Lonchura striata: one gene and its partners. The protein of the gene in region 1 purifies or fractionates together with the protein of each later gene. This does not show direct contact. Links are inferred from orthologs where the notes say so. Each region holds a gene or a part of one and is shown on either strand. Other genes may lie near its edges. The genes, in order: ARPC1A, ARPC3, ARPC5 and ARPC5L.

Region 1 (7,523 bases):
CACCACTTGGGAGTTTGATTGGATGATTCTTACAGGTCCCTTCCAGCTTGATGTGTTCTGTCATCACACAATGGCACTTGGTGCACACCAAGAGCATTTTCCCTCTCCAAAACACCTGCTGCAGGAAGCACATGTTCATGTTCAGTTCATACTGACAGCATCCCTGACATGTGGACCTTTGTAGACTTGGATGCACTTTTTGAGACAGTCCCTGGAATGTGTGCATCACTGTCTACAAAAGATTGTTCTCCTCTACCCTCTGTGCAACCCCTTCCTGCTCTCAAGCACAGTCTCTGATGTGGGCACAGACATGAACACACAATTTATAAAATACTTATTAACTACAACTCTTCAGGGTCATGCCCGTTCTCCTCACCCTGATGTCACCATGCACAAATATCAGATGTGTTCCAGGTCAATTTTGCAAAGATTCCTTTTGCTAAATCAAACCATTTCTGGTACAGGAACAGAGCCTGGCCAAATAAAGGAAGTCCATGCAGGAAGTGGAAGATGCAGAGGAGAGGGAGATGGGATGGCTCTAAACAAACTGCACATCTGGCACTGTGTCTCAGGCTTTGCTTCCTGGGGAGGTTATCCAAGGCCTCAACCCTCTTCCTCTGTGCCAGTGGCTCAGGGAAGCTGGAGCTCCCATGTCTGGATCTACCTGCCATGAATTTATTAGAGCAGAAAAGGGTGTGGGATGGAGATGAGGAAAACATAGGTGTGTTCCCAACACCAGCTGACTCATGCAGTTCCCTGAGAAAGGGAACACAGATATTCCACAAGTCTCTTTAGGCACAGAGGTACTCCTGGAACAGTTAATGGATAGTACAGATGTTTTCACTAATGGTAAGACAGAAAGGGAAAAGAAGCAATATCCTTCTACTCCCCAAATGGGTACACAGTAAGGACTAAATCTTTTCTCAAAAGAATAGAACACAGAAAAAGTGTGAAAGAATCTGCAGACAAAAGAATTACCTGTGTGTCAGACCCAAAACCTTGCAAATAATACACTCCTGCTACATCTGGAATGATTGAACACATCCAACATTTTGTGATGGATCTGTGCTAACAGAGATTTAAGATTTTTCAAGTCAAGGATGGGAGATGTGATCCAAGTAATCTCTTGCAAATAATTCCTCTCATCAATAGCCTTTATTCCTAGTCTTATTAAGGTTTCGTGTATGGGGAAAAACTTGTATTTTTCACAGTGAGATGGCAGAACATCGTATTCTGTTCAAACTCAAGATGTAAGGCATCACAACAGGAGGGCAGAGAGCACAGAAACAGCAAATTCAAACAGCTGAGAGGCTAAAACAGCTCCTCTGGCAATGCACACCTAGAATGCACTCAAACCATGACTTTTCATTCACCAGTTACCTGTTTGTGTATCAAACAGCATGCTTCCAGAAGATCTCTTTTTGACTAGCTGCTACCCTGTAGCTGAATGAGGATGTCCCAGCTTAAATCTTTTTTTCATATATACCTTAAGGTCAGATTGCATTGAAACCACTTTCACTAAAATCAGTTCAGCCTTGCTTGTGAGGCTGTAATCTCAAAAACATCAGCATCCTTCCTGGATTAGCACAGAGCACTTGTATCAGCATTACAGCAGGAGCAGTGGTGGAAAAGTCTTTGGGAAGCTACACTGGAGACAGGGTCTTAGCTTTTAATGCTTAAAACCTCTGCAGAGCGCCTCATTTAGATGCTCTCCCTCCATCTGGTGAAAGTCATTTTGCAAACATAAAACCGTACTTAAAATGTAATTTTGTTGCAGTTACATAACTCTGCTCGGCCTAGTTGTGTGGTTTTAATCCCTGCAGCTGGGGCAGGTTCATTGTTAAGCCAATAAGGGCTGCACTGATTACACATCTTGCAGGCACAGAGCCACAGGACCACTGACAGAGGCCACCCACTCCCACTTCTTGAATACAAGACCTTTTACTGCACTTTTGCCATCCTGACAAATATTTCAGATCCATTCTTAAAAACTCCTCAGAGCAGCCCTCCATCCTGTAAAATCAGCTCCTAACACAGGGCTTCACTACTTCAAAATAGTCACTGGCATTTTTTTACCCAGATCTGCCTTGTTGTTATCTCTGTTTATGACTTCTCACCCTACCCTGTGGCCATAAGAGAACAAATTATTCCTTTCCTCAGAACGGCAGCCTTTCATCTATTCCAAGACTATTCACATCTTCCCTCAGTTTTCTGTCCTCTCAACAGGCTCAGCTGAAGTAATGTGTTCAAAGAGCCCTGATCATTCTTGTCACCTTTTTCCCCAAATCATCCACATTTCTCTGGTGCACAGGACTCTAATGCTCTTCTAATGCAGCTCAGCAGAGCTGGATTCTTTTGTGTGTGTTACTCAGATTTTCTTACCCACATGGGGCTGTGTGGAGTTTACCTCATCTGCAAAAAGATGGTTTTTGTTCCTGTTCATCTTTTGACCCTCAGCATCCCCTCCACCCTTCCCTGCAGCTGCCCTATTCCCAGTGGTGTAAATTTGAAGCTGATGGTGTTGGAGTGAACAGCAGTGCACCTGCTGCCCAACCACATCCCATGTTTACCTCAGAGCTCCTGTTTTGAATCCTGGTTCTGCCACTGTGTTTATTCTGAACTCAATCTCTGTTTCAGATGCAGTAATTGCATTATTGCATCACAGATGAGTAATGCACAGGTAATTCCCTGTACAAGCACTGATATTAAGTACTTCTTCCCTCAACCAGTTTTGCAACTCCTTTAGAGCAGTATCATCTAGACTGGTTTCCCAGTTTATTATTAGAATACCCTGCAAGCCAGTGTCAGAAACTCTACTAAAAATCAAGATATATTACATACATTGCTTCGCCCTTATCTGCAATCCTTGTTATGCTGCCAGAAGAGGAAATTAGATTGGCTCAATTCATTCCTGACAAAGCCATACTGGCCAGCATTCACCTTCTTTTTTTCCTTTGAGATGCTTATAAATTGTTTATTTTCTCTCAGACTTGAAATTAAACTCACTACTCTATTGCTCCTCAGTATATCAGGGACTCATTTATCTCTCCCCATTTTCCCAGACTTTTTTGTTCATTATTGTTGTACTTGAGCTCACAAAATCTCCCAAGTTTGAAGGAGAAAAACTATGAGACCCCAAAGAAGAGGCAATTCCTCTAGGGGATTAAGAGTAGGGCAAATTATTGCTCATTAACTTATTTTGATATTCCAACCCTCAATCATAGAATCATGAAATGGTTTGGTTGGAAGGGACCTTAAAGATCATCCAGTTCCACCCCTCTGTCATGGGCAGGGACACCTTTCACTGTCCCAGGTTGCTCCAAGCCCCATCCAACCTGGCCTGGGGCACTTCCAGGGATCCAGGGCCAGCCACAGCTTCTCTGAAAATCTATGCCAGGGTCTCCTCACCCTCACAGGGAATAATTTCTCCCCAGTATCCCATCTAACCTTGCCTTCTTTCAGTTTGAAGCCTTTTCCTGTGTCCTGTCCCTCCAGGCCCTTGTCCAAAGTCCATCTCCAGCCCTCTTGCAGCCCTTTTAGGTCCTGGAAAGGGCTCTAAGGTCTCTCTGGATCTTCTGTTCTCTAGGCTGATCACCCCCAGCTTTCCCAGCCTGGCTCCAGAGCAGCCCTGTCCCCTCCAAGGACATCTTTCCCTTTCAGGGACAGTGTGGCCAGCAGGACCAGGGCAGTGATCATCCCCCTGTACTCAGCACTGGTGACACCACACCTCGAGTGCTGAGTTCAGTTCTGGTCTCCCATTCAAAAAAGACATTGAGGTGTTGGAGTGTGTCCAGAGGTGGGGAAAAGGCTCATGAAAGGTCTAGAAAACCTTATGGCTGAGGGAACTGGGTTTGTTTAGTCTTGAGGAGACTCAGTGTGGATTCATTTGCTCTCATATTTGTGGCATTTTATCTCCATTATACCGGTGATTATACCAGTACAGGTTCTCTGTGATGTATCCTGTAGGATGGGTTGTGAGTGCTGGTGTTTGGAACCCCAATCTCATGTGTGTGCCCAGCACTGTGGCACCTCTGTATTTTGGGACTCATCTACTGGGAACAATTAATAACCAACACCTTTGGTTTTTTCTCCTCATAGAAACAACCCGGCAGGAGGAAACACCTTCTTTTCCCCCTGTTTTCTTTCCTTGTTCTTCTGGCTGACTACAGCAGTAGATCTGAAAGAAGAGTGTATTGAGGTGGGATCCAGCCTCATCTACCCTGCCTGCAGTGAGGAAAGGACTGAAGGAAATGGCCTTAAATTAAAGCACTGGAGAGTCAGGTTAGATGTTATTATCTTTTTTTCACTACTTGGGTGGTCAGACATCGGAAGAGCTTACTAAGCGGTGGAGTGACAACTCTTGGAAGCGTTTGCGGCGCTCGTCTGACGCGGCTCAGGGCAGGAGGGCACCGACAGCGGGATTTCGCGACCTCAAAGCCGTCCCCCTCAGGCGCCAGCCGCGGCCGGCCCGCCCTGAGCGGCCGCGCAGGCGCCGCTCCGCCCTGCGCGCGGGGCGGGCCGGCGGCGCAGGCGCCCAGCGCGTTTCCTGCCGCCCGTGTCCGAGCCGGGCCCGCTCGGCCTCTGCCGCCGCCGGAGCGGAGTCGCGTTGACTGCCCAGAGTCCGCGAGTCCCGCTCCGCCCCCGCCGCCTCAGGTGAGTCCCGGCCGCGGGAGGCTGCGGGCCCGCCGGCCTCAGCGGAGCGCGGGGGGAGGCGCGGCAGCATCGCCGCGCCGAGGGGCTGGGGACGCCCTGCTGAGGGTGAGGCGGTGGGCGCCGCTTCGCCGTGAGGGGCTGAGGACAGGCGAGCTGCCCCCCGTTTCCGCCGCTGAGCGCCCTCGTTATCCCCCGCCGTGCCCCTCGCGGCCCCCGCCGTGCCCGGTGCTGGCGGGGCCGCAGCTCACGGTCCGTGCCCATCGCGGCGGGTTTGTCGGGCTGACGGCGCCGTGTGCCGGGAGGTGCCCGAGATGAGCCGCCCCCCTGCGAGATCCCCAGCACTGACAGTGCTGGGGGCTTCCTTCATCGCAGGTGCTTGGCTTCCAGGGGTTTGGAAGTGGTGTAGGTGCTCTGAGGATGGATTAAAAGCATCCCTTTCTCGCTGTCACACACAAACATTCCGTCTCCACTTCTGAGTCCGTATCCTGGCTAGTTGTTCATCCATTCACCATATATTTCTCACCCCAGAGAGGTGACAGCAGCTGAGTGCTGTACATCCCAGCCTCGATCCTTTTCGGCCTTGAACAGAAAGAGCTTCTCTACAAAGGCGCAAGATTTCCTTTTTTTTCCTCCATTTAAAAATATTTTATAAAGTCAGTTGCTTTCCCTTTGAAATAAAACTGAGGGAGAGCTGCATTAAGTACTTGGTAACAAAGTCATGCCAGTATCTTCCCCACGTGAGATTCTGGGGTTGGATGACAGGAAGGCATTGAGATTACCAAGAATTATAAAGCCAGCAGCATTTTCCCTAGTGAAATGCAAGCTAGATTTTGTCTGTCTATTAGTAATGAATAAATATAACTAGAAAAGTTCTTTAAGATTTGTCTTCTCAAAGAAAATATCACTGTGCCTATCAGGAGAGAGAAATAGCAGTGCTTTTTGAGGTTATCATCATTGTGTTTTATGGGTTTGTAACCAAACCAAAATAGAAAAAGGTGGCTTGTAGCCAGTTGTGGAGCTCAGGTAATTCAATCAATGGGAAGGAATAGATCATACAACTTTGGATAGGTTTTGGGAACAGCTCAGGATAAATGCCTGAACTAAGAGTTAGGGTGGGACCATATGTTATATGTAATGCCAGTCTGTGAATAAAATACTACAGTTGTATTAGAAACTGTTTCAAAATAGCTGCATTCCTTGGGGAGAGGAGAGTGGATTTTTTTACATTTTATTTCGGAAAGAGTAGCAAAGGCTGAGAATTCCTTGTTGGTGGAACAGCTCTTGAACTTTTCCTGTATATGGAAATGTGCTGCTACTGAATGTTGGCAAGATCCTGGAAAAAGCACTTTGCAGTTGTGTTTTGCTTCCACATGTGGAATCTCAAATGATGGATGTCCAAGGGCAGAAGTAACCCAGATGATGGCAACATTTTCACATTAACAAACAATAATTAATTATTTTGCCCAGGACTGTGTGTATTTAATACTTTATTTGATTGGTGGAATGTGATTATTATAAGAACTGTGAAAATCATGCTGGTTAAAATTATGAGCTGGGCTAAAAGCTCATATTGTTAAAAGTTGTATTTCAAGTACATTTGAAATGCACCCATAATTTGCATATTTTTAGAATAACAGTGCTCAGTTTCCTTAAACAAATAAACTAAATAAAGTGAAAAGTCTCTCCACTTACTTGCATTGGTGAAATACTGTCTCACCTCTGCTCCAAGATCCAGCACTTTCAAGGTATTTGTTAAACTGATGGTGTGACAGTAATTCCTGAGGCTCCCTGAGAGCATACTCATCCTTCTTTCACTCCCAAGTTTCTGTTGGATTGCCATTCATTTCCTGTTTGCTTCCAAATTCCTACCTTGTCCTGAAGTCTCCACCCTCTGCTAACATGGCCATACTTGGGTATGTTGTAATTCCAGGCTGTAATGGGTGTGGATGTCTTGGAATGACATCACGGAGATAGTTCTTTTAAGATGGATATGTGGGGGTAAAAATGCTTTGATCCATCAGGCAGTGATAAATTGCTGTGAAAATTAATGGAATATAAGAAAGGAATTGACAAGTCCAAGTTGGATGTATTGAATTGTGCACATTTTTGTTATTACAGGTGACCCTGAGTTTTTATGTTGTTATATTCCATCAGTTCATGCTGCTCTGGTTAATACAGCACATAGAATACTATATTTTAATACCTAAAGTATTTCAATATCTAAAATATTTTAATATCTAAAATATTTTAATTTCAAAAATATATTACTCTATGCCCTATATTAAACCAAAGGCAGCATAAATGGATGAAAGATAATATAATAAAAACATTTTAAACAACTTTGTGTCTGTGGATGGATGTGCCTCCAGTTGCATATTTTCAGCAGTGTCTCTTGTAACAACCATCAGTTACAAGAAAATAATAGGCATTTAGCCTTTTTTAAACATAATACTCAAAAACTACAATGATCCAGCTTGTTCTAGTGTTTGAATTTCATGGGGCAGAAGCTTGATTATCAAACAGTTCAGTGCTAGAAGTAATTTGAAGAAATTACTAATCAGTTAATTACTAACCTTAGTGATTTTTTGTAGGATACATATAAATTGTTTTATCAAATAATGTATCAGCAGATCACAGTTACACATCAGTTTGGCTTCCTGAAAAAAAGATTTTGTTGTAGTGCTGCCTGTGAGCCTGGATACAAGTCAGGCTTTAGAATCAGTTCGCTGACCTTTGTCCTAGATACTTTTATTTTTGATTGTTCCATTTCCATAGTAAAATTAATAGATTTATTAGATTTCTTGAGGACCTGCTCTCTTGTCTGTGAGGATACACAAAGAAGCAAGTGTATCTGGCTTTTAGGGCAATTG
Region 2 (7,949 bases), on another chromosome or scaffold:
TGCGGGTCGGGTACCTGAGGAGGGACGGGCTGGCGGCGCGGGGCGGTGCCGGCGCTGACGGAACGGAGGGCGCCGGGAGGATGCTCGGTACAAGCACCGGGGGGATCCCCGCCAGGGGCGGAGCGGGAGCGGGCGCGTGTGGGAGCCGGCAGGCGGGGGCTGCGCGGGGGGGCCCGGGGGCGGTGTCGGTGTTACCGGAGGCCCCTCGGGCCGCGGCGGGTCCCGGTCCCGGTCCCTCACCGCGCGCGCACGTGCGCCCGCCCCAGCGCCGCCGTCTCGCGAGAGGGGCGGGCACGGTTTGACCCCGCCGGCTCGCCGTACGGCGGCGGGCGGGGCCGTGCCGCGGAGCCGGCCGGGCTACGGGCCGCCGCAGCGGCCATTCCCCGCCGGGCCGCCGCAGCCATGCCCCGGTACGCGCAGCTGGTGATGGGCCCGGCGGGCAGCGGGAAGGTGAGCGGGGAATAGCGGGGAAGGGCGGGCGGAGGGAGCTCCCTGCCGGCTCCTGACGGCCGCGTGTGCCTTGCAGAGCACGTACTGCTCCACCATGGTGCAGCACTGCGAGGCGCTGGGCCGCGCCGTGCAGGTGGTGAACCTGGACCCGGCGGCCGAGCTCTTCAGCTACCCCGTCATGGCAGGTGAGCGGCGGCCCCGGGCACGGCTGGGCTCCGGCTGCCCCGAGAGCGTGCGACCGGACCCGTTCTGTCCTCCAAAACGGAGCCCGTGCAGCGCCGGGGGAAGATGTTGGAAAATCGTTTTAATAAAGTAACGTGTGATCCGTAAATTAAGGAATAATTCTGGTCTGCTGGCAAATAATGCTCAGTGCCTATGTCAGAGGTTGATGCACTCTCAATCCCTGTATTTACCTACACCAGTGATTGATAGGTACTGGCAGATGCCTCAGTTTCAAGAAAAACAGCAGTGTTTGTATCTGAACAAAGATGATAAAAGCACACCCTGACCTGCCCACATAGATGAGATACTTTCAGGAGGAGATATTCATTAGACCATAAGAGGAAAATCTTGGGGAATGAGATGTTTCCTAGACAATCACCAGGAACCCTCAAAAGACCCTCCCCAATAAATCCCGGGAAGTATTTAGCTTATATTTACCTGTTTAACTTTCCTGAACATAACGTGTTGTGTTTGGTGCTGGCTGTGCCTGTGCCAGGGAGATCCCCCTGCACCCAGCACTGCTGTGAAGTTTCCTCAGCTGCCAGAGTTCATTCCCTGCCTTTGGGGCCGTTTGTGTTGTCGCAGACATCCGCGAGCTGATAGAGGTGGACGATGTCATGGAAGATGAGTCCTTGAGGTTTGGCCCCAATGGTGGCTTGGTGTTTTGCATGGAATACTTTGCCAATAACTTCAGCTGGCTGGAGGAGAGCCTCGGGCACGTGGAGGATGACTATGTTTTGTTTGATTGCCCAGGTAAAGCCACACCAATGTTTTGGCATCACTCTTCATAAGCGTTGGAAAATTCGCAAATTGGAAAATGTGGTTGTGGAGGTTGTGATAATTCCCATTTTGTTCAGCTATTATCAGTTGTCAGAGTCACTTTCAGGTGTCTCAGGAGTGAACTTGGTCCTGGGCTGATCTGGGTGACTGCGCAGCTATTTGGTAGCATCATGAGCTGTGGCAACTGCAAACTAACACTAACTGGGGACCAAAGGAGGAAAAAACCTCCTTTTATTTCTTTTCTATTTCACTCAAACACAGGCTTCCTCAAAAGAAGGTGCTTTCCTTACTAGTTTTTATTTAAGTGCAGTTCCCATGTCTAAATATAACTGTGTACTGTTCTTGTTTGCTTCACATTCCTACCTGTTAACATCCTGAGTGTGCTCCAGGTCAGATTGAACTCTACACACACCTGCCAGTGATGAAACAGTTGGTGGAGCAGCTGCAGCAGTGGGAATTCCGTGTCTGTGGAGTTTTCCTTGTGGATTCTCAGTTCATGGTGGAATCTTTCAAGGTATCCATTTGAAATCTGTTGATAAAGTTCATTTTAATAAAGAACAAGAAGTCTTAGCCATTCAGGGAGCTGGGTTTGCCCAGAGGGAAAATTGCCAGGTGCAGGGAGATGTGGTTGCTGTCATCAGCTGCCTCAGACACAGCCTGCAGCAAGGACAATCCCAGGTGGATGTAAAGCAGCACTGGGAGAGTGAACAGACTGGGACAGGCACAGAGGGATTGTGCAGTGAATGTTCACAGAGTCAAAACTTGACTGGGCAAACCCCAGAGCAGCCTGCTCTGACCTGGAAGTGCTTCTGTTTGAGCAGTTGTAGGAGCCAGATAACCTCCAGAAGTCCCTTCCAACCTAAATTCTTCTGTGATTCCATGAGAGCTTTCTCAGATCCCAAGAACAAGCAGGCCACCATCCCCATTTAGCAGTAACTATTCCAAGAAGGGTTTTGGTTTTCTTAATGTCCTTTTCAGTGGCAGATCCATATTTGAGGCTCCAAAAATTTTTCCACTTCCTCTTTTCAACAGAGAGAATGATTCCTCATATGGCTTTGTGTCCATGTTCCATATATTCATTACCAGATTTGGCCTGTGGTTGAGTGTCCTGCATGTTTGTGTTCTGTTTTTGTGTACTTTAATACATCATTTTTCATCCTCTTCAAGTTTATTTCTGGAATCCTGGCAGCCCTCAGTGCAATGATATCTTTGGAGATTCCACAGATTAACGTCATGACCAAAATGGATTTGCTGAGCAAGAAAGCCAAGAAGGAAATAGAAAAGTGAGTTCCAAAAAATTATTTACTCTGTGGTACAATATACTGAAACAAAGTTCACTTGAGTCATGTTTCCCACAATTAAAACCTACTCATTTGGAATGGGAGAAGATGGATTTTGTTTCAAACAATAATCTCTAAACATTGGGTAGGATGCTTAATTTAGTCAGAGTCAGAAAAATAGCTCCATGTTTGTACTGATCTCTGGCTATTTCTGTAAATAATTATCTTGGATCTTTTGTGTCACTTTGAATGACAGACTTTCAATGTTGATGATGACTTTGTTTCTCCAGGTACTTGGATCCAGATATGTATTCTATGATTGAAGATTCTACAAATATATTGAAAAGCAAAAGGTTTAAAAAACTGACCAAATCTATATGTGGATTGGTAGGTACATTGCTTTTGAGCTAGTGCCCTAAAATTCACTATCACTTTTTGCTTAACTAATATTTTTTTGTTTTTTCAGATTAGCATGAGATTCTTGATACTACTGATAAGATACTCTTGATATCTGGATTATAGCCAATACATTTTCTTTGAATTCTTTTCTGTCGGCAATTTTGGGAATTTGCTGCTGCATAGAATTTAGGATTGGTAGCCAGGTGTTCTGAGTGGGGAACTGGGAATTGCCATTGGTTTGCAGTGTGAGTTTAAATGCTATTTTAGAAGTCCAGAAAAGAGTGGTTTAAGGAAGAGGCTTTGAGTGCTGTGATTGAGAATGAACTTTCTGCATTTCCCTTCTGTAGATTGATGATTATGGCATGGTTCGATTCCTGCCTTTGGATCGCTCTGATGAGGAAAGCATAAACATCATTCTGCAGCACATAGACTTCACCATTCAGTATGGAGAAGATCTGGAATTTAAAGAACCAAAGGTAAGGGACTGTTGCTGAGAAGATGAAAAATTAGAAAGTATCCATAAGAGAAGTTGTGATATAAGTATGTTCTTTGCTTTGCTAATAAATTATTCTCTTTGTACGGTTCAAAATAAGCTGTGTTTAGTCTTTCAGTGGTAATGCTTGTATCATCTTCATTTAGTTATAGAAATGAAATTCTTTAATATAATCTTGCATATGCAGGTTGATCAAGTGGTTGTTTAAAAGTATTGGTTTGGTTTTCAAAATTAACAGAGTTTTAACCTTCAAATACCAGAAAGGACCACTGAGATCACCAAGATTTTTTCCTGCATGACTGTTCAAAGTCCCCTAATGATTCCTGTGTTCAGACCAGGAAGGTTTATGTTTTTCTGGGGTTTTTTTTGACAGGAATGTGAAGAAGATAAATCTGCTCTTGTGGATGAATACTTTCAAGATCATGTGGATGAGTAAGAAACATGTTCAAACTCTGAGGAAAATACTTTGTTTTTGATAAAAAATAAAAATAAAATAAAAACCCCCCAACCCCTACACAAACACGCCTGATGTTTTATCTGTAAAATAACTAATATTTATAATGGAGAGTGAGTTATATGACCTCGTAACTACTTTAATAAACAATTTTTTTTACTATGCTTGGGTGTGTTATAAAATACATAGGCCAGTGTTAGTACATATAAACAAGCAGAACCAGAAACGGGCAAGAGGTTCAACAGACCAGCAAATCCTCAAAATATATTGAGGAAAAAGACTCAGAAAAATCTGTATGTGGCAGGTCTTGATCTGACTGAATTAAACCATTCAAAAGCTGGGGAAACCACCGTGGTTTAATTCACCTCCAGACTGCCACTGGGACGAGCCACGCTTAGGGCATGTTGAAAGGATAAACCCCAGCCTTGCAGTTGAATTATTGTGACTCACCTTCCAAACCTCCCCACTTTGTCTCCCTGACTCATGCCGGGAGTCAGATACCAGGGAACAATTTCAGCAACGCTGGATATCAGGGAAGCAATTGATAGCAATTTGAGTGTGCACCCTAAAATAGTGTGTCCCTCTGAACACAGCGCGTTTGGACCCGTTTTGTGTTTCCTTGCACGAAGTGCCGTGCTGGAAACACCCAGGGGAGAAAACCAGCGGCCAGCGAAGCATCCCGGGACCCCTTCCCCGAGCGGGCGGTGCCCCTCCCGGGACCGGCAGTGCCCTGGGACAGCAGTGCCTCTCCGTGGCCGCTCCCCGTACGGGCAGTGCCGGGGCACGGCGCTGCCTCCCGGGATCCCTTCCCGGTGCGCTGCCTCCGGGGCGGTGCGCGGCTCCTCCTCGCACCGCCTCTGCCGCTGCCTCATTTCCTGCAGCGTAGCGGAGGAGGAAGCTCTGTGCCCGCTGTCCTGCCCGGCTCGCCCCGCTCCCCTCCCGCCCGGCCCCGCCGAGCCGCCTGCTGCCCTTCGAGATGCCGGTGAGCGGCTCCGCGCCCGGCGCCGCGCGGCCCCGGCGGCGGCAGCGCGGGCGGGAGGGCGCGGGGCGGCGGGGCCGGGGGCGGCGATCCCGGCCGGGGAACGGGCTCTGCTCGCTGCGGGGTCCGGCCGGGGCACTGCGGGGGAACGAGGGGCTGCAGCTGCGGGGAGCGCTGCTGAGAGCGGGGATGGCTCTTCATGGGAGGCTGCTGCAAGGCAGCGCCTTCCTCTTCCTCTTCCTCCTCCTCCTCCCCCTGCCAGGGATCCACCCGCAGCCGGGAGGGTGCGAGCCCCGGCAGCAGCGGGGGAGAGGGCGGTCACAGCAGGGCTTTGCCCCGGCTTTGCTCACGCCACCTCTCAGTGAAATAAACTGCTTTTTATACATCCAGCCTCTCCCAGTCACATCCTCCTCTGCCCCCCCACAGAGGGTGGGTTGTGAGATGAGGGATTCCCAGTGGCTTGCACAGCACCTTGGAAAGTGCCTAGAACTAAACTCCTTAGTTGTTTAAAATCGGTTTTTCAGGGAGAATTTGTTGTATGCGGAAAGCTGGTTTGTTTGTCACTTAAATCACTTTTGTTGCTTTTGTTGATTTTTTTTTTTACTGCACTGAGCCTGCTTTTATTTATAATTATCTACTATTAATAGCCAGTCGTGGAATTAAATTACCTATTTTTTAATGACCAACTAACTTTCAGTGCAATGCCCCAAAACTCAGGCAGGTGAGCAGGGCTGTTACCCCTTGGTGCAGCCAGGATGGGGTAACAGGATGAGGCAGCCTGGGGATGAACTGTGCCTGCAGACCAACAACACAGATTTTATCCCATCTCCTGGTGCTTTCCTGGTCTTCACCAGAATGGCACTAAGATCTGGACCTAAAGAGAAAATAGCAATTGCTTGTGCAAGGAAAAAATGATGGAAGCATCATAATGAACTAGGCTGTGACTCCTGTTTGATGAAGACATGTGAATGGATATGGAAATGTCCATTTTCAGTAGGATCAATAACCAGCTCTCCCTGTCTCTAGGCTTACCACTCCACTTTAATGGACTCAGACACCAAGCTGATTGGGAACATGGCACTGTTACCCATCAGAAGCCAGTTCAAGGGCCCAGCACCTCGAGAAAGTAAGATTATAATAATCTCTGAATTACTGGATGTAGCTCATCACCTCAGGGGTTGCTCTAAGACAACCCCATTAAGAGTGATGAGAAGAATCACTGGTGGGAAATAGAAAGATTCGCAGTTTAGAGAGGAGGAAAGTTTTCAACTACTTCAGTTGTGCAAATTGTAGAAAATAATTATGCACAGATAATTGTGCTCCGTGTTGTGCTGAGTTAGGGGTTTCAGTAATCCAAGCCTCTGGCTGCTGTTCTGGTGCCTCCCCCTGTGCTCCTGAGCAGGGTTTTGAGGAGGCTGTGGTGGTGTGAAGCCTCTGTGTCAGAGGAAGTGGTTCAGCTGCAGAGAACTCGTGCTCTGGGCTGCTCTGAGGGACAGCAGCACTTACGGGTGTGGGGCTTCAAAAACTGCAGTGAAGTTCCAGGCACCCCGAGAGGGCCCACAGGCACACGTTCCCTTTCAACACCTGAACTTCCCAGGTGTGGTATTCCCCAGAAATGTGGGATTCAGTTTGGAAAGGGAAATGGAAAGGAAACGTTTCTGGATTTAAGCAGTCTTGGATGGTAACAAAGGTCAGATTGTCACTGTGTTCTGCCCCCCTCCTTTATTTGAAGAGGATAATGGAATCCGAGTGATGTGCTTTCTCCAAAAACTTTTTTTCTATCCTTTTATGATGTTAAAACTGTGATGAGTTACTCAAAAGTGGTAGAAAAGTGAGGAACTGCTGAATTGCTGCTATTTGTGAAGTGACATATCAGAGGGGAAGGAGAAAGGAGTAGGAAGCTTAAATATTACAGTCTGAACTCATGGTGTTTCAGAAGTTTTCTGTTACGTGGTGCTGACTTCTGCTTTTTGTAAATACCATGGTTTTGTTCTTGCAGTAATCCTTATTTATATATTTCAATGAGTAAAAGTTATGACAAATGTAGTGTAACAGAGCACTCCTTAACTCTATCTCTTCTTTATAGCTAAGGACACAGATATTATAGATGAAGCCATCTACTACTTCAAAGCTAATGTTTTCTTCAAAAATTATGAAATTAAGGTAATTTTTTGAGATACTGAGTATATTCTAGTTCTTTGGAGGGTTGGTTCTGTGAATATAAATTTATTTTCAAGGAAGTAATTTTAAGAAGATCACAAAAACTCCCCTTCCACTTAATCTTTAAAGTTGGGTAAATGTCATGAATTGCAAATCTCTCTCTCATGGGGAAACTATAGCCCAAAATGGCTTGAATTAATTCCTGTTTCAGACTTTATCAGTTCCACAAAGTGCTGTCATCTAAGAGTTCCTGCTCTTGTTTTGCAGAATGAAGCTGACAGAACACTGATCTATGTGACCCTCTACATTTCTGAGTGCCTGAAAAAGCTGCAAAAGGTAAGAAAACTGAATTCCTGTGCAGGTGGGAAACAGTCTGTTCTGAGAATTGTTCTAAGGAAAGGATTTCCTGATATTCTCCTTCCAGGGGAACAGATAATCCTGTTCACCCCAGTCCCAGTTGTCAGAGCCTCCAATACCTCAAGGCTGTGGATGTGCTGTGTTGCTCTTGATGAGTATTCATATTCCAGATTTGTAAAATATTTGGGTCTAATGCTGTGTCAGTTTTTGTTCATAACTGCTAACCCATTGTTTGCCTGGTTCTTCCAGTGCAACTCCAAAGGCCAGGGAGAGAAGGAAATGTACACACTAGGAATCACTAACTTCCCAATCCCAGGGGAGCCTGGCTTTCCACTGAACGCCATTTATGCCAAACCTGCCAACAAGCAGGAGGAA
Region 3 (8,008 bases), on another chromosome or scaffold:
TGGACAGATCTTGCTTCTTCCCTCATATCCTTTGTTTCTTATTTTTTAAACCTTAGGGCTGCGCAGGAACGTCAAGTCTCCGGCTCATTAGGGGGCCATGTGACTGCTCTGGACTTTGAACTCAGATAAACTCCCTACTGAATGAAAATGTGTAAAATGCTTCCAGCAGAGATTATTTTGCACCAGGCTGTACTAAGAAATGCAGCAGAATTTCAACACTCACATTTCAGAGGCACAGAAGAGAGGAACCATCCTTGTCCTGAGTGCAGCGTTTCAGGGACAGCTCCAGAGTGTGCATCCCTTTCCCCCCATACAGCAGCACTTATACCAGCCTATGGAAGCAGATCATGGTTTAGTTTGGGGAATAAAACATTCTGATTCCATATAATCACACATCAGCTTCTGTCTAATCAATGCATACAATTTTGCTTTCAAAAGACATCTTCAGAAATCCCAAACCCACACATTTAAATCAGTAAAATCACATCCAAACTGGCCACATTGGGATGGATCAGAATTTCTGCATGCTTTTTAGCCTGGAGAGATACCAGAATTTACCTAATATTTGAATAAAGAAAAAGAAAATCCCAGCCCTGATCATTAGGGTGTTTTTCCCTAGGTGCAGAACATATGTCTTGGATCCTGGCTCACTTCCAGACAGAGTCATTAGGGACTCTTCTCCCTGTGGTTTTCACTGGATAAAACATTCCTCTCCAGTTCCTCCTGTGAACATTTGTGCCATGTCATGGGGCACTAATCAGTCATTCCTGCCCTCTGCCCCAGACAGGCATTTTAGCAAAAAGTTAAATAATTTCTAAAAGTTATAATTATATCCCAGTCCCCTCCAAATATAGTTGGGAGGGGCAGAGATAGAACTATAATTTTAAGTATAATTGGATAGATAGAGAGAGATAAATATGGATCTGTTAACACTCATTTTGAGCTCCTAGGGATCCAACAGACACCATCTCCTGTATCAGAATGGTGGCTCATGGAGAGGAACAGCATTGGCAAAGGAGCCAAAGGCTGATGCTAATGCTGCACGTCCAGAAATGCACTTTGGTTGTGGGAACACTCTTCCAATTAACCCATCCAAAGAGGTAGTTTGGGATTTGACTCCCATCCTGTAAGGATGTGATACTGTTGATTGAGGAGATTGAAAATTTGACGGGTTTTGACCAGGACGAAGCACCAACCAAAGATAAAGAGGCAGGTTTCGGGGGGAGATGTAAAATGTCCGGTGCCTCTGGTTGAAAAGCTCTAGAAACACTTAAACAGAGCTGGAGAAGCAAACGGCTCCATCCGAAAAACAACACGCATCCCTGAGGTGCGACATTGCCATCATGCGGCCATCCCAACTCTGCAGGAACACCAGCAGGGACAGCAGGAATGGGAACCTTATCCCACACTCGCAGCTTTCTCAGTTGTCTTTAGCACTGGCAGCCTGCAGGAGAAGTGGCGGGGGTGACACCCTCTCCTGACACCCCTCTGCAAAGGAAAACACTCCTTTCTCCGCACCTGCCCTCCTTTATGCCAGGGAGCAACGGCATTTTCTATTTCCCGGGGCACGGCACTGCCAGGGTGACATTGCACTGCACACAACAGAGCACGGCTGACCATCCAAAATGTGCAGAAACACCAGAAACGACAAATGGACCACTCCTCATGTCAGGAAGCCAATCTTTAGGAGAAATCTGAATGAGAACAGCACAGTGGTCTGGATCAGGAAGGAACTACAGCACATACATACATGAAAATATATGAGGACAATACACAGAAGTTACTATAGAGTCAGAGTGGAAAGCAAAGCAAATTTTAAAAATTATGAATTTAAGGAAAAAGTTAAATACAGAGGGCAAAACGGTGGTATGCAAAAGTGAGCTGTGATAAAATGTGCAGATGGCTATGTTTTACAGTGGAGCAGCAAAAGAATTATGAAGATCCAAGAATGATGAGGGGCAATGAGAGCAGCAGTGAAGACAAATAATTTCCTGCTTGAGCCAATAGCTGTTCACCCACACAAAATTTGTGTTTTCCCTCCTCTGGCACCCTGGTACAAAGCATGACTGAGCTTACTCACAGAATGACCCACTGCTTCCTGGAATTAAAGCCTCAGGGACGGGAACACAAACTTCCGAAGAAAGGGAAAACCTTGGTGCAGAAGTACAACAGGAGTCTTCTGTCCAGCTGGCACACTAGATAAACACACAAATCATTTAGAAAGAATCTCAGTTGGACATTCCTTAGAACACCCAGATTTCAGCTATAACAATATTGTAGCAAAACTTCACTAATAAAAGAGGGCTATAGTATCACTTGAGAAATTAAAAAATAATATTGACAGGCACAGAACAGACATTCAACTCCCACAGATGCCTGGCCCCACAAAGGCAAATTCTGTTTGCCTTCCCATCTCCCAGAAACTGGCACCTGGAAACATCTAAAAGAACCTGCCTGCTGCCACCATCTCAAACAGGGCCAAGCCTTTGCACTGGGAAAGATCCTGCTGCATGGAACTGCCCAGACCAGGGAGGAACCTTCTTCTGCACCACAGAATTTGCAAAGATTGTAACAGCCCTAAAGTGGAAACTTTAAAAGCCACTGAAGGAAATCAGATAAATATTTGCTATTACCCTGAGCTGGACCTGGTAATGACACCTTTTTAAGTTCTTTTTGCATGTTTTTGTTTTTTTTGCCAGATTGAATCATGGAATCACCTGTAACAATTCTAAAAAGTGTGGCTGTTTCTATTGTACAGTTTTTCCTCTATAGGGTATAAGGGAAAATTTTACTCTTTATTTTTAGCAAAAAGTCTGTTTTGTGAATAATGCCTCCAGGCTCCAAGAGTTTTGTTCTCTGTGTCATCAACCAAGTTTCCATATGCTGCTACAAGTTTCAGCAGCTATTTGAAGAGACTGTCCACTATTTCTTATGTATAACACACTTTGTGTGTGCCATCATGGGGGCAGCCCCTCGTCACCCAGCTCTGCCAGCAGGTACACAAAACTGACATCAAATTAACTTAACAGGAATTAAAACATCTTTTAGGACAGCTTTTCCCCAAGGAAAGCAGGGGAACTCAGCTGGACAGCAGAATTTAAAAGCCTTTTCCTCTGTCACCCAGCCTCCCAACAGCCTTTCCCAGCCTTGGAAGACATTCTGCTTCCTCTGATGTCTCCAAGACAAGGAGGGCTTTTCCCAGGTGCATTTCTGCCCTCTCAGAAGGAACAGCTTATAGCCAAGATGCAGAAATATAGTAAGGCATTCAAAAATGCCAAAGGAATAATTCAGTGGAAGTCCTCATTCGGAAGCGTTTCCCTGTGGCACACGCCTGCTCTGAGGATGGCAGAGATCCACCCACTTTTTGGTGTGAAACTGAGATCACAGATGGCAAAAAACACCAATAAAGTCCCCTCCAGCCAAATTTAATCCATGGAATAACTGTGGGTCTTAAATAATGGATTATGAACATACTTTGGTTTTAATCCTCAACCTCTTAAGCCAGGGCAGTAAACCCTGAACCTCAGTACTCCCTGCCCATGGCAGGCAGTTGGAACTACATGACCTTTAAGGTCCCTTCCAACACAAACCATGCTGTGACTCTCTGACAGTCTATTTACCTCCTGCAATTACTTTGCTGCCCTTAAGCCAATTTCCAGCAGAAAAATGCCAGCAGTCCCAAGCTACAGCCACAGTTCCAACTGGACTGCAGCTTCCCAAGCTGAGGCAACTTTGGGGAACATGGGACATATCCTAAATTCCTCCTCTATCAAGGAGGTGGGTGGTCCTGCAGGTAGGGCTGATACAGGAATAAATTACAGGGGTTAGTGGTGGGTGTAATATGTGTATCTATATGTGTGTGTGTGTGTGTGTGTGTGTGTGTATTTTTTCTTCCAGGGCTGTTGTTTTCTCTTAAGAGGAACCTCACAAAGCTGTGTCATTTCCTAATTAATAATAGGGTAATTATTATCTACAGAGGCTAAGTGTAACTTTAAAAAATTACAGGCTGTGGCTATTTTTTAACTCTCAAGGTCACTAGGTGCTGTTGGAGTAGGAGCTCCCTGAGCAATCCAAGCAGGGCAGCTCCCACCTCACTTGAAGCTACACGGGTCCTGCCCAGCCTGGCGCTGTCCTGGGGTGGACAGAGGGACCCAGACAAGCTTGGGAAGAGGCTCGTGGGAATCTCATGGAATTTAACAAGGCCAAGTGCTGCTGCTGCACCTGGGTCGGGGCAACTCCCAGGATCAGTCCGGGGAGGGGGCAAGCAGATGGAGCAGCCCTGGGAGGATTTGGGGGTGCTGAGGGTGAGAGCTGGAGCTGCCCCAGCCCTGAACCCCCTGCCCTGGGCTGAGCCCCAGCGTGGGCAGCAGGGGAGGGGGATTCTGCCCCTGTGCCCCGTGCTCAGCTGAGACCCCACCTGCAGAGCTGCCCCAGCACAGGAGGAGCTGGAGCTGCTGGAAGAGCCCAGGGGAGGCACAGCATGGTCACAGGGAGGGAGGAAAGGATGGGAGAGATGGGATTGTGCAGCCTGGAGCAGCTTTGGGGTGACCTCACTGTGACCTTGCAGTACCTGGAGGAGCTGTTGGGAATCCCGAGGATACACTATTTACAAGGGTCTGGAGTGACAGAACAAGCAGGAATGGCTTCAGAGTCAGTCAGAGCACGGTGACAGTAACATCAAGGTTGTGGCTTCAACTCCGGTATGGGCCATTTACTTAAGAACTGGATTCAGTGATGCTTGGGGGTCTTTTCCAACTCGGAATACTCTGTGAACCTGTGAAACTTCAAACTGAAGGAGAATAAGTTTAGCCTGGCTATTGGGAAGAAGCTGTTCCCCGCGAGTGAGGCCCTGGCACAGAGTGCCAAAGAAGCCGTGGCTGCCTCAAGTATCCAAGGCCAAGGTGGTGGGAGCCGGAGCAGGCTGGGCGGGCCGCGCCCTCGGGTCCCCCCGGCTCCCCGGCCGGGGCCGCGCTCGCTGCGCCGGCGCCGCCGGGCGGGGCGGGCCGGGCCGGCCGCGGCTGCGCGGGGCGGGCGCGGCCATGGCGAAGCACACGGTGTCCTCGGCGCGGTTCCGCCGGGTGGACGTGGACGAGTACGACGAGAACAAGTTCGTGGATGAGGAGGACGGCGGCGACGGGCAAGCGGGGCCTGATGAGGGCGAGGTGGACTCGTGCCTGCGACAATATCCTGAGGGGAGCGGCGGGGGCGGAGCGGGCGCGGCCGCCGCCGGGGCGGCCTTGTAGGGGAACAGCGTGAGCGGCACCGGTGGGCAGGGAGAGATGGGCGGAGAGGGCTGGAGGGGATGGGGATGGAGGGGAGCGGACTGGAGGGGAAGGGACAGGCGGGGAAGGGGATGGAAGGACAAGGGAGGATGCTGAAGGGGGAAGGGGCTGACAGCAGGAAGAGTCTGGCAGCAGGAAGAGGCTGAAGGGGAAGAGGCTGAAGGGGAAGAGGCTGAAGGGGAAGAGGCTGAAGGGGAAGAGGCTGAAGGGGAAGGGGCTGAAGGGGAAGGGGCTGGCAGGGGAAGGGGCTAGCAGCAGGAAGGCGGCCCAGCTTCCTCCCCTGCCCGCAGCAGCCGCAGTGCCCCGGGGCCGCGCTCAGGGCGGTGTCCCGGGGATGCAGACAGGGCGTTCCTGTGCCCAAAGAGTTCCCGTGCCCGCTGCCAGGGCTGCCTCGCCCAGCTGGCCCTTGGTCACTTTTCCCTGGGCTGCTGTCCCAGTGGCTGCTGGGGCTGGATGTGACAAGCTGAGATCTGTTCTCGGGGGCTACAGATTGCAGAAGTGATGGAGAATGGTTTCTATTACTCATTCAGGGAATGGCCTAGGAAGTATTCAGCAGTCCCGGAACTATACAGCTGCTTGTTGATGCTGCTCCTGCCTCAAATGGCCTGAAAATTGCTGTCTTAGGCTGTAATGTCTTCTTAGCTGGTGAGGGAATCCCTGCATCAGAGTGTTTTCAGTCATGCACAAGCCAGCTACAAATATAGCTGTCCTGGTACTTGATGTCCGTGTATTTGGTGTCTGGTCCTTAACCATCTGGCACAGGGAACATGATGGCTGCACTGCAGGCAGCTCTGAAGAACCCTCCCATCAACACAAAGAACCAGGCAGTGAAGGTAAAATAGCAACTGCTCGCTCATGGGTTACTCCCTAAAAATCCTTTCCTGTCTCTGTTACTTCTGTGCCACTAGTTGTACCTTGAGGAGGCAAGAGGAGCAGAATTTAGGGTGAAACATCCATGACCACAAGTGTTTTAATCTTGTTCAAAATACTGTAGCTCAGGTACAGTACTGTCCACGTACCTTTACCTTGGTGCTGGATCAGGTGTGGTTCTCCTGCCAGTGCTGTTTGTGTTTTGTGTGCCCAGGTGTCATCATGTGCCTGTGTCTGCCTCAGACCACACATGGCAGCTCACAGATGTAATCCTTGTGTGCTCAGGGAGCCAGGGTTGCAGTTGTCACCTCTGACTAATGAAACCACCAGCAGTGAGCCTACAAAAAAGGAAGAATTGTTTTTTGTCACATCCAATCAAAATGAAGCTGTTAAACCTCAGGAAAAGCAAGTCCTCCCCCTGTGATAGTGTGGGAGTCTGCTGGGTATGTGCATTTCTGAACATCCCCAGGATGGATCCTGAATAGCTCATGATTGCAGTGGTAGGAGGAACAGGCTGATAAGATATGGCAGTGCCCAGCTGGTGAGTGCCTGCAGTTACTTCTCCGTGCCCAAGGAGAGGCCCAGGGGCATGGCTCCCTGCTCCATGGTTCCTGGCAGAGCTGTTCCTGCAGCCCCAGCCCTTTCCTGAAGGGTTTTACAGAGCTCTGAGAACCAGCTGTTACAAATAGAGCTGTATAGCTTTGTCCTCACATTAATGACTTGTTTCCATTAGCCCTCTATTGAAGGATTTAAGAATACATTTGGTGGTGGAATTGAAGAGGGTAGAATGACTGAACATTAATACCTGTATTAATTTTTGGTTATCTTTGGAACTTAAATAATTTTACTTACAGTCATGTGAGAAGTCTTGCTAAAGCAAGTGATTATGGAGTATTATTAAATTGGGCAGGAAAAGTGACATCCACAGTTTCTGTAGGGGGAAGGTGCCTGACATGTTTGTACGATGGAATTATTCAAACGTCCAGCAACCCCGAGACATTTTTCTCTCATCCTGCCTCAGTTAGTGATGGATGAACAGGAGGAGCTGCTCCTTGCTGATTGCATGGCTAATTGCTGCTGTAAGCTCACCTCACACATTCCCAGGCCTGAAATGACATCCAGATCAAACGTTATTAATTCTTAATATTAATGGCCAGTCTGCATCCAGTGTGCCTGGGACTGCTTGGAAAGCACGTGGCTTCCAGCAGTCACCTCTTCCAATGGCATTTCCCTGGATCATAATGGTTGTGTCACGTTAAACAGTACAGAGGTATGGAAAAGGCTCTAGTGGGAAGAGGGGCCAGATAAGCACTTGATTGTTATAATTATTTTGGAACTTGATACATCTTGAGCTTCCAAATGAACATTTACTATTTAGCTATAATTAAGGGGCGGAGAATTGCAAACACTCACAGAGGCATAAAAACTAAAGGAGGGCGAATGTGTTAAACTCTTTTACCTTGTTTATCCTTGAGAGGATGTGTCTATTAATCTTTCTATGACAAGCTCTTCACACACTGTCCTCTTCAGAGGTGTTAAAGAAAAAAATGCAGTTTGGCTGTGCCTCTCACCAGGATGGTTGTGTCTGTGCCTGCCTGTTGACAGGATCGTGCTGAGAGCATCGTGCTGAAGGTGCTCATCTCCTTCAAAGCCAACGACATTGAGAAGGCGGTGCAGTCTCTGGACAAGAACGGGGTGGACCTGCTCATGAAATACATCTACAAGGGCTTTGAGAGCCCCTCTGACAACAGCAGTGCTGTGCTGCTGCAGTGGCACGAGAAGGTGCGTGCATGGGGACAGCTCCTGCCACAGTGCCCAGGCCCTGAGCCTGGCCAAAACTCCCTTCCTGGCTGGTG
Region 4 (7,995 bases), on another chromosome or scaffold:
AACTGCAGGAGTGTCCAGTGCTGCCTTCCTGCAGTGCAAAGATACAGTCACAGCTTTAAACATCACACAGCAGACAGTGACACCATGAATTAAAACAGTTCTGAGCATTCAGTCCTGCAGCAGTGTAACTTCAGTGCCTGGCACCTACCCTGGCACCACTGAGAGCAGCCTCCTACCTGTGTGATACTTGTACGTGGTGTCCAGTGGCCCATCTGGACCTATTCCACCAAAAATGTACAAGTGCTCCTGGAACGCTGCCGAGGAGTGGGATGCCCGTCCTCCCGGGACATCCCCGGTGGCCGGGATCTTCTCCCATCTCAAGTCAGCTGATGCAGGAAACAACACCTCTGCAGTTATGCATTACACAAACCCCACACATTTCCTTGATTTAAACAAAGAAGGTAATACTTAAAGCACTTAAGAACTAGTATTTCAGGAAAAAATGTCCCCCCAAATCAAAGCACTTCGCTCACAGGTGCTGCAGTACCTCCATCCACACTTACTGGTATCAATGCAGAACAGGTCATTGTAAAAAACATCTCCAGCTAAACCCCCGTGGATGAAGAGTTTGGTCCCAACTGCAACCACGGCGTGTCCGTGCCGAGGAGAAGGGGGATCACCACGAGTCTCAGGCTGGGACCAGCTCAGGGTGGCTAAAAATGGGAGTGCATGTGCATCAGGAAGAAAACTCCGGAAATTCTACAGACCAGCAAGCGGGTCTGAATTCCCAGTGAGCACATGAACATAAGGGCCTGTCAAAGGAAGAACAGCCACCATCCCGTGGGACTCGCCCCCAGACAACAATCGCAGCCCCCTGACACAGCCCAGAGCTCCATCCCGCAGGTGGGAGGTACCTGTGTCGAACACGTGCAGCCGCTGGTCTTTCACCGGCTCTGCCCCCTTGTCTCCACCGCCGAACACGAACAGCCGCGCCCCGACGGCCGCCGAGGACGAGTGGAATGTGCGAGGTTGTGGCTGCTCCCCCCTCACTGCAGGGCTCTCCCACGTTCCTGTTTCTAGTGAAGACATTCGATTAACCGAGCAACCAGCGCGGGAGCAGAGGCCCAGCCCGTCCGGCAGCCCCGCTCCGGGGCACTCACCGGGGTCCAGCGCCTGAACGCAGCTGCGGTTCCCGGCGGGGTGGGCTCCGCCGAACACCCAGAGGCGCGGGGCGCGGCCGGCGGGCAGGAACGTGGCGTGCTCGTAGCGCGGCCTCAGCCCGCGCCAGCCGGCGGGGACCCAGCGCAGCGGGGCTGTGGAGGGGACAGGCGATCGGTCCCGGTCCCGGTCCCCGTTCCGGCCCCGGCCCGGCCCGGCCCTCACCCAGCTCCAGGAAGTGCGCGTCCGCGAAGGCGCCGGCGGGGTCGGCACCGGCCAGCAGCAGGACGCGGCCGGGGAGGAGGAGGCAGCCGAGTCCCACGCGGCCGCGGGGCCGCTCCCCGCAAGGGCTTAGCCGGTACCTGCGGGACGAGGGCGGCGCTCAGCGCGGGCTGGGCCGGCCCGGGGCCCGCCGGTTCCCCCGGCCGCTCAGCGCTGTGCCCCCGCCGCGCCCCCAGCACCCCCGCCATGCCCGCCGCGCTCAGCGCTGTGCCCTCATCACCCCCGCCGTGCCCCCGCCGTGCCCGCCGCGCTCACCACCGTCCCGGGCGCGGCCGCCGCCCCGGCTGCAGCAGCGGCAGCGCCCACGGCGCCATGGCCGCTGCCGGGCCCGGCCGGAAGTGCCGCCGGAAGTGCCCCGCGCTTCCGCCCGCGCCCGCGGCGCGCTCCGCCGGCCGGAAGTGGCGGGCGGGGCCCGCCGTGCCCGAGCCCGAGCCAAGATGGCGCCGCTGGACCTGGACAAGTACGTGGAGATCGCGCGGCTCTGCAAGTACCTGCCCGAGAACGACCTCAAGGTGCGGCCGCGGCGGCGGGCCGGGGCCAGCCGGGGCGGGCTGGGGCCGGGGTGGGCGCTGCCGGGCGGGCCGGAGCGGGCGGTGCCGGTGGTCCCGGCGCTGACCCCGACCCTGCCCCGCTCCTCCCGTAGCGCCTCTGTGACTATGTTTGTGACCTGCTGCTGGAGGAGTCCAACGTCCAGCCCGTCTCTACTCCCGTCACCGTCTGCGGGGACATCCACGGGCAGGTAAGGCCGGGCCGGGCCGCTCCCGGTGCAGCCCCGGGCCGGGGCCGGTGCCGGTGCCCGGTGCCCCCTCACGCCGCTCTCCCCCCGCAGTTCTATGACCTGTGCGAGCTGTTCCGGACCGGCGGGCAGGTTCCCGACACCAACTATATCTTCATGGTAGGTGCGGCCGGGCCGCGCCGGGTTTGACAGGGCTGGGGGGAAGTCCCGAGGGGCTCCCGAGTCCCGGGGCCGCTGCTGGCTCCTGCCCCCAGTTGTGCTGCCGGGAGCCCGGGGGTGAGGCAGAGCATCCCGCCCTGCCAGGCTGTCCCGGGTCAGCTCAGGACAGCGGTGAGGGGAGGAGAGCCCCGCGGGTCCCGCAGATCCCCTGCCCTGCAGCGCCGGGTTCTTGTGGCACTGAGGAGCTGGGGGCGGATCTGTCACCGGGCACTTTCCCGTGTGACTGTCGCTCCAAGTGCCGCCGTCTCTGCCTCCAGGGGGACTTTGTAGACCGAGGGTATTACAGCCTCGAGACGTTCACATACCTGCTTGCACTAAAAGCCAAGTGGCCTGACCGCATCACGCTGCTGCGAGGCAACCACGAGAGCCGGCAGATCACCCAGGTGTACGGGTTCTACGGTGAGTCCTGCCCGGGAAGCACGCTGGCACCGACACGGGGCCGGGGCTCTCGGGGCTGGCTGGGACACGGGCTGCAGCTTGTTACTGGTGACAAGGTCACGGTGCTTCTGAAATGGAACGTGTCTGAGGCAGATCTCGCTGCTCTTTTCCTCTGGCACGTGGGGTTTCTGCTTGTGTTGTGCCACGTTCAGTGGCACAGGCAGAGCGTGAGGTTCTTGCTCCCTGCTGCTGGTGCTGGTTCTGGGCAGCAGCAGGACCCAGCACAGAGCTCATGTGACACAGCTGAGCATGCAGGTTCTGCCGTCAGTGTTTCCCCGAGATCCAAGAGGAACAAACCCGTTCTCTCCAACAGATGAGTGCCAAACCAAATACGGGAACGCCAACGCCTGGAGGTACTGCACCAAAGTCTTCGACATGCTCACGATAGCAGCTGTAAGTGCAGAGGCCAGGCCAGCAGCGGTGGGGTCCTGGCAGGCGCTGCAGGCTGAGCTGCAGCTCCCCGGCAGCGCTGCTGAGGGCTCTGTGCACGTGTCACCTCCCTGCAGCTAATAGACGAGCAGATCCTGTGCGTGCACGGAGGCCTCTCCCCAGACATCAAGACCCTGGACCAGATCCGGACCATTGAGCGGAACCAGGAAATCCCTCACAAAGGCGCCTTCTGCGACCTGGTGTGGTCGGACCCGGAGGACGTGGACACGTGGGCCATCAGCCCGCGCGGGGCGGGCTGGCTCTTCGGGGCCAAGGTCACCAACGAGGTAACGCTGCTGCTCGGGGCCACGCAGCCCGGGGTGGGGATGGGGGAGCCACGGGCTCAGCTCAGGGTGGTGCTGAGTGCACCCAGGGCACTGCAGGACACCAAACTCCCCCGTCACGCCTCTGCCAGTAACTCGTGGCTTGTGCCAGATGGAAAAAATGAGCCACTTCAACCTAAAAGCACAAATGTAACTGCCAGATGTACTAATGCCTATCTTGCTTTTGAAAAGTCTGATGTGGTGGGACTTACTTGTGTTCCTGGGCTGTCTATGGAATGGTTTCCTAAGGATCTAGGAGAAGAATACCATTTTTTAAGCAATTTTTGAGTTAATTTTATTGTGTCTGTGCTGAGCAGACTCCTCAGGGCTCTACACACTGGCCTTGGCAGGCTCTGACCTGGCCACATTCAACTGCGTTGTCGTGTGGCCCTGGCACAGCATGTTAGGAAGGCTTGAGCCTGGGGACAGCACAGCCCCAGGACTCATGCTGTTCCTCAGAGCTCGGGTGTCGCCAGCCGTGTTTTACAGGGGTTTCACAGGGGTTTCTCAGTGCTCTCACTCCTCCTGTTGTGTTCTCCATGCTGCTGTGTGCGGTCAGGCCAGGAGCAGACGTGGTGTGGGCAGCAGCCGCTCGGGCCACGCTGATTTTCCCCTTCCCTTGCAGTTTGTTCACATCAACAACCTGAAGCTGATCTGCAGAGCGCACCAGCTCGTCCACGAAGGATACAAATTCATGTTTGATGAGAAGTTGGTAACGGTATGGTCAGCTCCCAACTACTGCTACCGCTGCGGGAACATCGCCTCCATCATGGTCTTTAAAGATGTAAATACAAGAGAACCAAAGTTATTCCGCGCAGTTCCAGACTCAGAGCGTGTCATTCCTCCCAGGACAACCACGCCGTACTTCCTCTGAGCCCTCGCCCGCCTGCTCTCACCTCTCCCTGTCCTGCCCCTTTTCAATATACTTTTTATTGAGCACTTTGCTGCTGAAATGCTGCCTCTTGCCTTTTTTATTTTTAAATTATCTAAATTTATTGTGTATTATGGTGTCTGTAGCAAGTTTTTTTTTCCCTCGCCCCTAGATTAATTTCAGAGTATTTGTAATATGTCCTTGAGATTTGTACTACTGCATGTAGTCCTCGCCTAGTCCTGGGTTAGATGAACCGATTCCTTTAACCACCACGCTCCGGGAGCCGCTCGGGCCCGTCTCTTGTTCACTTTTTGTTTTTGCTAAGTTTTAAGAAATTTCAGCAGCAAAGTCAGCGCGCGGCGTGCGGCGGGGCCGGGGCTGCCCGTGCTGCGTTCACGGCGCAGGACCGAGCCAGCGTTTTCCGAGTGTTACGTGGATCCCAATAAAGCGCTCCAAGGGCTGTTCCGCGTTCCCGGTCTGTCCGTTCTGCGCGGGATCCCGGCCGGAGCCGCGAGCGCTGCAGCGGCGGGACGCGTACATTAAAGGCTGGTTGGGATTTTCCCGGGCTGCGCTGTTTTTCCGGGCGGGGCGGGGCGGCGCCGCGCGTTCCGGTTCCGCCGCCGCTTCCGCCGGGGCCGGGCGGCGGCGATGGCGCGGAGCACGCTCTCGTCCCGCTTCCGCCGCCTCGACATCGACCAGTACGACGAGAACCGCTTCGTGGAGGAGCCCGAGGAGGCGGCGGCGGCCGAGCCCGATGCCGGCCCCGAGGTGGAGGCGCTGCTCAGGCAATATCCTTTGGGCCGGGGGTCCCGGGGGTCCCGGGGAGCGGCCGGGGCGGAGCCGCGCTGCGGTCCCGCGCACGCAGGTCCCGTTTGAGTCCTTGACCGCCGCCGCACGGGCGAGGCGCTCCGCGCCTTCCACGCCGCCATCCGCAGCTCCCCGGGCAGCAGCCGGAGCCAGGCCGTGAAGGTACGGGCCGGGGGGGACAGCGGCGCCCCGCCGGTCTGAGCGGCGCCCCGCCGGTCTGAGCGGCGCCGCTGCTGCCGGCACAGCCCTGAGCGTGCTGGCACGGGCATCCCGCCGTGTTCACCCTTCCTCCGCTAACCCCAGGTCTGCTCACCGCGCTCACCCAGACAACCCAGCCTGGAGCGTGGCCACCTCTTGCCAAACACGAGTCTTGGGATCGTTTCCAGCTGTTCTCGTCCTCACATTTCTCTCTTTGCCTTGTCTTCCCAGGAGCAGGCGCAGGGAACGATGCTTAAAGTCCTCACATCTTTTAAAAGCAGTGAAATAGAACAAGCGGTGAATTCCTTAGACAGAAACGGTGTTGATTTGTTAATGAAGTACATTTATAAAGGATTTGAAAAGCCAACAGAAAACAGCAGTGCAATATTACTCCAGTGGCATGAAAAGGTACGTGTTGGGGGCACTCTTGGCTCGCTCGCAGGGTCCTGGCCAGTGGTGGTTTCAGGAGAGCCCCTGAAGAGAAGCAGGTGGGGCAGGGCCTCATCCCTGAGGAGGAATGTTTCCTTTTACCTTTGCTCACTGTTTCCTTTTACCTTTGCTCTCTCTGAGCCTGCATTCACAAAGCCTTTGCCTGTATTTCAAACCTTACCCTCTGCCATGGGAAGAGGAAACTTGCAGCAGGGAGTTCTCCTTGTGCTGCCTTTGGCCCCCAGGGCAGGCAGGGGCTCCAGCAAGGAGAAGGGTGGGAGTGGAGATGTGATGGGATGGACGGGGCAGCTGCAGCTTCCTCTGGGGCCGAGCTCAGGGAGTCAGGCTGGCAGTTTGCATCAGCTGAGTCACAGGGTTTAGCAAACCTGTTTGGTTTGCCCAGGAGAGGATTTTGAGGTCTCCAAAGATTCCAATGGGGACCAGCAGGGGCCTCTTTCGTTCCTCTGGAATGTCAGCTGTGAAACAGGGAGTGTGGGATGTGTTCAGAAGCTGATACTGCAACTTTCTTCCCTGTGTGTGATGGGCCCAGGCACATTCTGGGTTGAGGCACAGCCCTGAAGCAGCTGCTGGGTGCCCCTGCCCCCGGGCAGGAATCCAAGTGAAGTCTTCCCCCCCTGCAGGGGCTTTGGCTGAAGCCCAGGCTGTCAGTGCTCCTAGGAAAACTGATCCCTGGGCACACTGCAGCTCCCTGTGCAGGGCAGCTGCTGTGAATGCCACTGTCCTTTCCCGAGGTGCAGAGCTTTTTCCTGCTGTACATAAAGCTGGTGTAGCGTGACTCCAGCTATTGGCTGCTGTCACCAGCTTTGCCAGGCCTTGACAAGGGAGGAGAGAATTTCTCGGGACAGCAAGGAACATGTTTCTGCTTGGTTTTTTTTCTTTTTTTCCTGTTGTTTCCACTGAGGTGCTTTCAGGTAAGCGTGGGTGGTGCTCCCAGCGTGGGAGGTGACACACCACCACCCTGACTGATACTCAGAGCGTGCAGGGACATGAAAGGCATCTCATGCTCTCTGTTGTGAAAGGAACAAGGCAGGTCTGAGTAGGCAGGGTTTAAAGCCTGGTGTCCTGCTTTGTGGCAGTACTGGTAGGACGTGTGGCTTGCTCAGATCATAGTCAGCTCAGTGGTAGTACCAGTCTGTCCTCTGGAAAAGGCCTGTGGCAGGTCTGGTAGCTCAGGAGCTTTCACCTGCCAGTCCTGCTCCAGGTGGGTGCTTTGCATTTGTCTAGTCATGTTTCCCAGCTCCACGTCTCTTCTGCTCTTGTACTCTGTAGAGCAATCTACTGGATTGTGGTTGCAAAGTAAACACCCCACTTCCAGCAGTCATCTTAAAAATTTATTTTCTTCATAATCACCTCCATCTTCTAGACTTCAGAAGGAAACACTGTTCATATTGAGGGACACAAATTCAACTGAAGTGAGCCCTTCCTCCTCCTCCTCAGGGATACAGGAGGCGAGACATTCTGCTCTGTCAGTGACTTGCAACACTGGAGATGCAAAAGATAGTTAGATTGTGGAGAATTACAGTTTCTAGTTTTGGAGAAGAGCCATAGTCCCTTCTGTGCTAAACTCTTTGATGTTTGTTCTGTGTGGGACGTGGTGACTCTTAACCTCTCTCCTTTCCCACAGGCACTGGCAGTAGGAGGCCTGGGCTCCATTATAAGAGTTCTCACAGCAAGAAAGACTGTCTAAAGACTGTTAACTTGGACAGAGGTGACGGTCAGGTTTGGACTCAGAAGAAGGAATAAGCTGAAATTACACTGGTCCATCTTTATTAGAGATTGCAATCTACTGAAATCCTACAGTAACCTCCTCTTGGAATGCTTTTAACCTTTAAGGTGGGGGAAGAGTAAAGGTATTCCTGCATATTCCGACTATCACACACAGGAGCCAAGACATTCTCCTGCTCCCTTCTGTAACGGGCAGAGAGAAGGCACACTCCTGCCTCCTACTGCTGTAAGTGAACAGGTATTTCAGATGCTGCTTTAGCCAGGTGTGGTGGTACAAGCTCCGTGTGTCCTGCTTAGTCCCGAGGTAGCTGTGTCCAGGCTGGGATCCTGCAGCTGAGGGTGGGACAAGGGCTCTTAGAACGTGTGGGTGAAGGACTCTTGGACTCTGGTGTTGGCTTAATGTAAAGTGAAGTGCCTGC

The links.
Region 2: the proteins of ARPC1A (region 1) and ARPC3 purify together in Homo sapiens (affinity purification with mass spectrometry; 8 studies listed by BioGRID and IntAct, counting the BioPlex papers as one, with this or other methods). This does not show direct contact. The link is inferred for Lonchura striata from reciprocal best matches to the Homo sapiens genes ARPC1A and ARPC3.
Region 3: the proteins of ARPC1A (region 1) and ARPC5 fractionate together in Homo sapiens (co-fractionation; 8 studies listed by BioGRID and IntAct, counting the BioPlex papers as one, with this or other methods). This does not show direct contact. The link is inferred for Lonchura striata from reciprocal best matches to the Homo sapiens genes ARPC1A and ARPC5.
Region 4: the proteins of ARPC1A (region 1) and ARPC5L fractionate together in Homo sapiens (co-fractionation; 7 studies listed by BioGRID and IntAct, with this or other methods). This does not show direct contact. The link is inferred for Lonchura striata from reciprocal best matches to the Homo sapiens genes ARPC1A and ARPC5L.

What each region holds. Positions count from the first base shown.
Region 1 is NC_134618.1:14,882,136-14,889,658, forward strand, and holds the start of ARPC1A (actin-related protein 2/3 complex subunit 1A), read left to right. Parts: upstream 1-4,513; 5' UTR 4,514-4,653; intron 4,654-7,523. UniProt on the Homo sapiens protein: Probably functions as a component of the Arp2/3 complex which is involved in regulation of actin polymerization and together with an activating nucleation-promoting factor (NPF) mediates the formation of branched actin networks.
Region 2 is NC_134620.1:12,738,839-12,746,787, reverse strand, and holds the start of ARPC3 (actin-related protein 2/3 complex subunit 3), read left to right. Parts: upstream 1-4,949; 5' UTR 4,950-5,054; coding exon 5,055-5,060; intron 5,061-5,845; exon of another isoform or gene 5,846-5,931; intron 5,932-6,083; coding exon 6,084-6,183; intron 6,184-7,143; coding exon 7,144-7,220; intron 7,221-7,484; coding exon 7,485-7,553; intron 7,554-7,823; coding exon 7,824-7,949. Other genes in the region: DENR (density-regulated protein), read right to left, coding at 1,111-1,131; GPN3 (GPN-loop GTPase 3), read left to right, coding at 403-450, 527-635, 1,258-1,425, 1,842-1,966, 2,620-2,735, 3,023-3,119, 3,479-3,607, 3,998-4,060. UniProt on the Homo sapiens protein: Component of the Arp2/3 complex, a multiprotein complex that mediates actin polymerization upon stimulation by nucleation-promoting factor (NPF).
Region 3 is NC_134611.1:27,704,151-27,712,158, reverse strand, and holds the start of ARPC5 (actin-related protein 2/3 complex subunit 5), read left to right. Parts: upstream 1-5,001; 5' UTR 5,002-5,039; coding exon 5,040-5,183; intron 5,184-6,043; coding exon 6,044-6,115; intron 6,116-7,757; coding exon 7,758-7,934; intron 7,935-8,008. UniProt on the Homo sapiens protein: Component of the Arp2/3 complex, a multiprotein complex that mediates actin polymerization upon stimulation by nucleation-promoting factor (NPF).
Region 4 is NC_134624.1:10,673,438-10,681,432, reverse strand, and holds the start of ARPC5L (actin-related protein 2/3 complex subunit 5-like protein), read left to right. Parts: upstream 1-4,989; 5' UTR 4,990-5,044; coding exon 5,045-5,184; intron 5,185-5,283; coding exon 5,284-5,365; intron 5,366-5,632; coding exon 5,633-5,809; intron 5,810-7,475; coding exon 7,476-7,538; 3' UTR 7,539-7,995. Other genes in the region: RABEPK (rab9 effector protein with kelch motifs), read right to left, coding at 1-28, 177-326, 504-653, 855-1,016, 1,101-1,253, 1,324-1,460, 1,636-1,694; PPP6C (serine/threonine-protein phosphatase 6 catalytic subunit), read left to right, coding at 1,818-1,892, 2,024-2,119, 2,210-2,275, 2,593-2,734, 3,087-3,166, 3,280-3,489, 4,151-4,399. UniProt on the Homo sapiens protein: May function as component of the Arp2/3 complex which is involved in regulation of actin polymerization and together with an activating nucleation-promoting factor (NPF) mediates the formation of branched actin networks.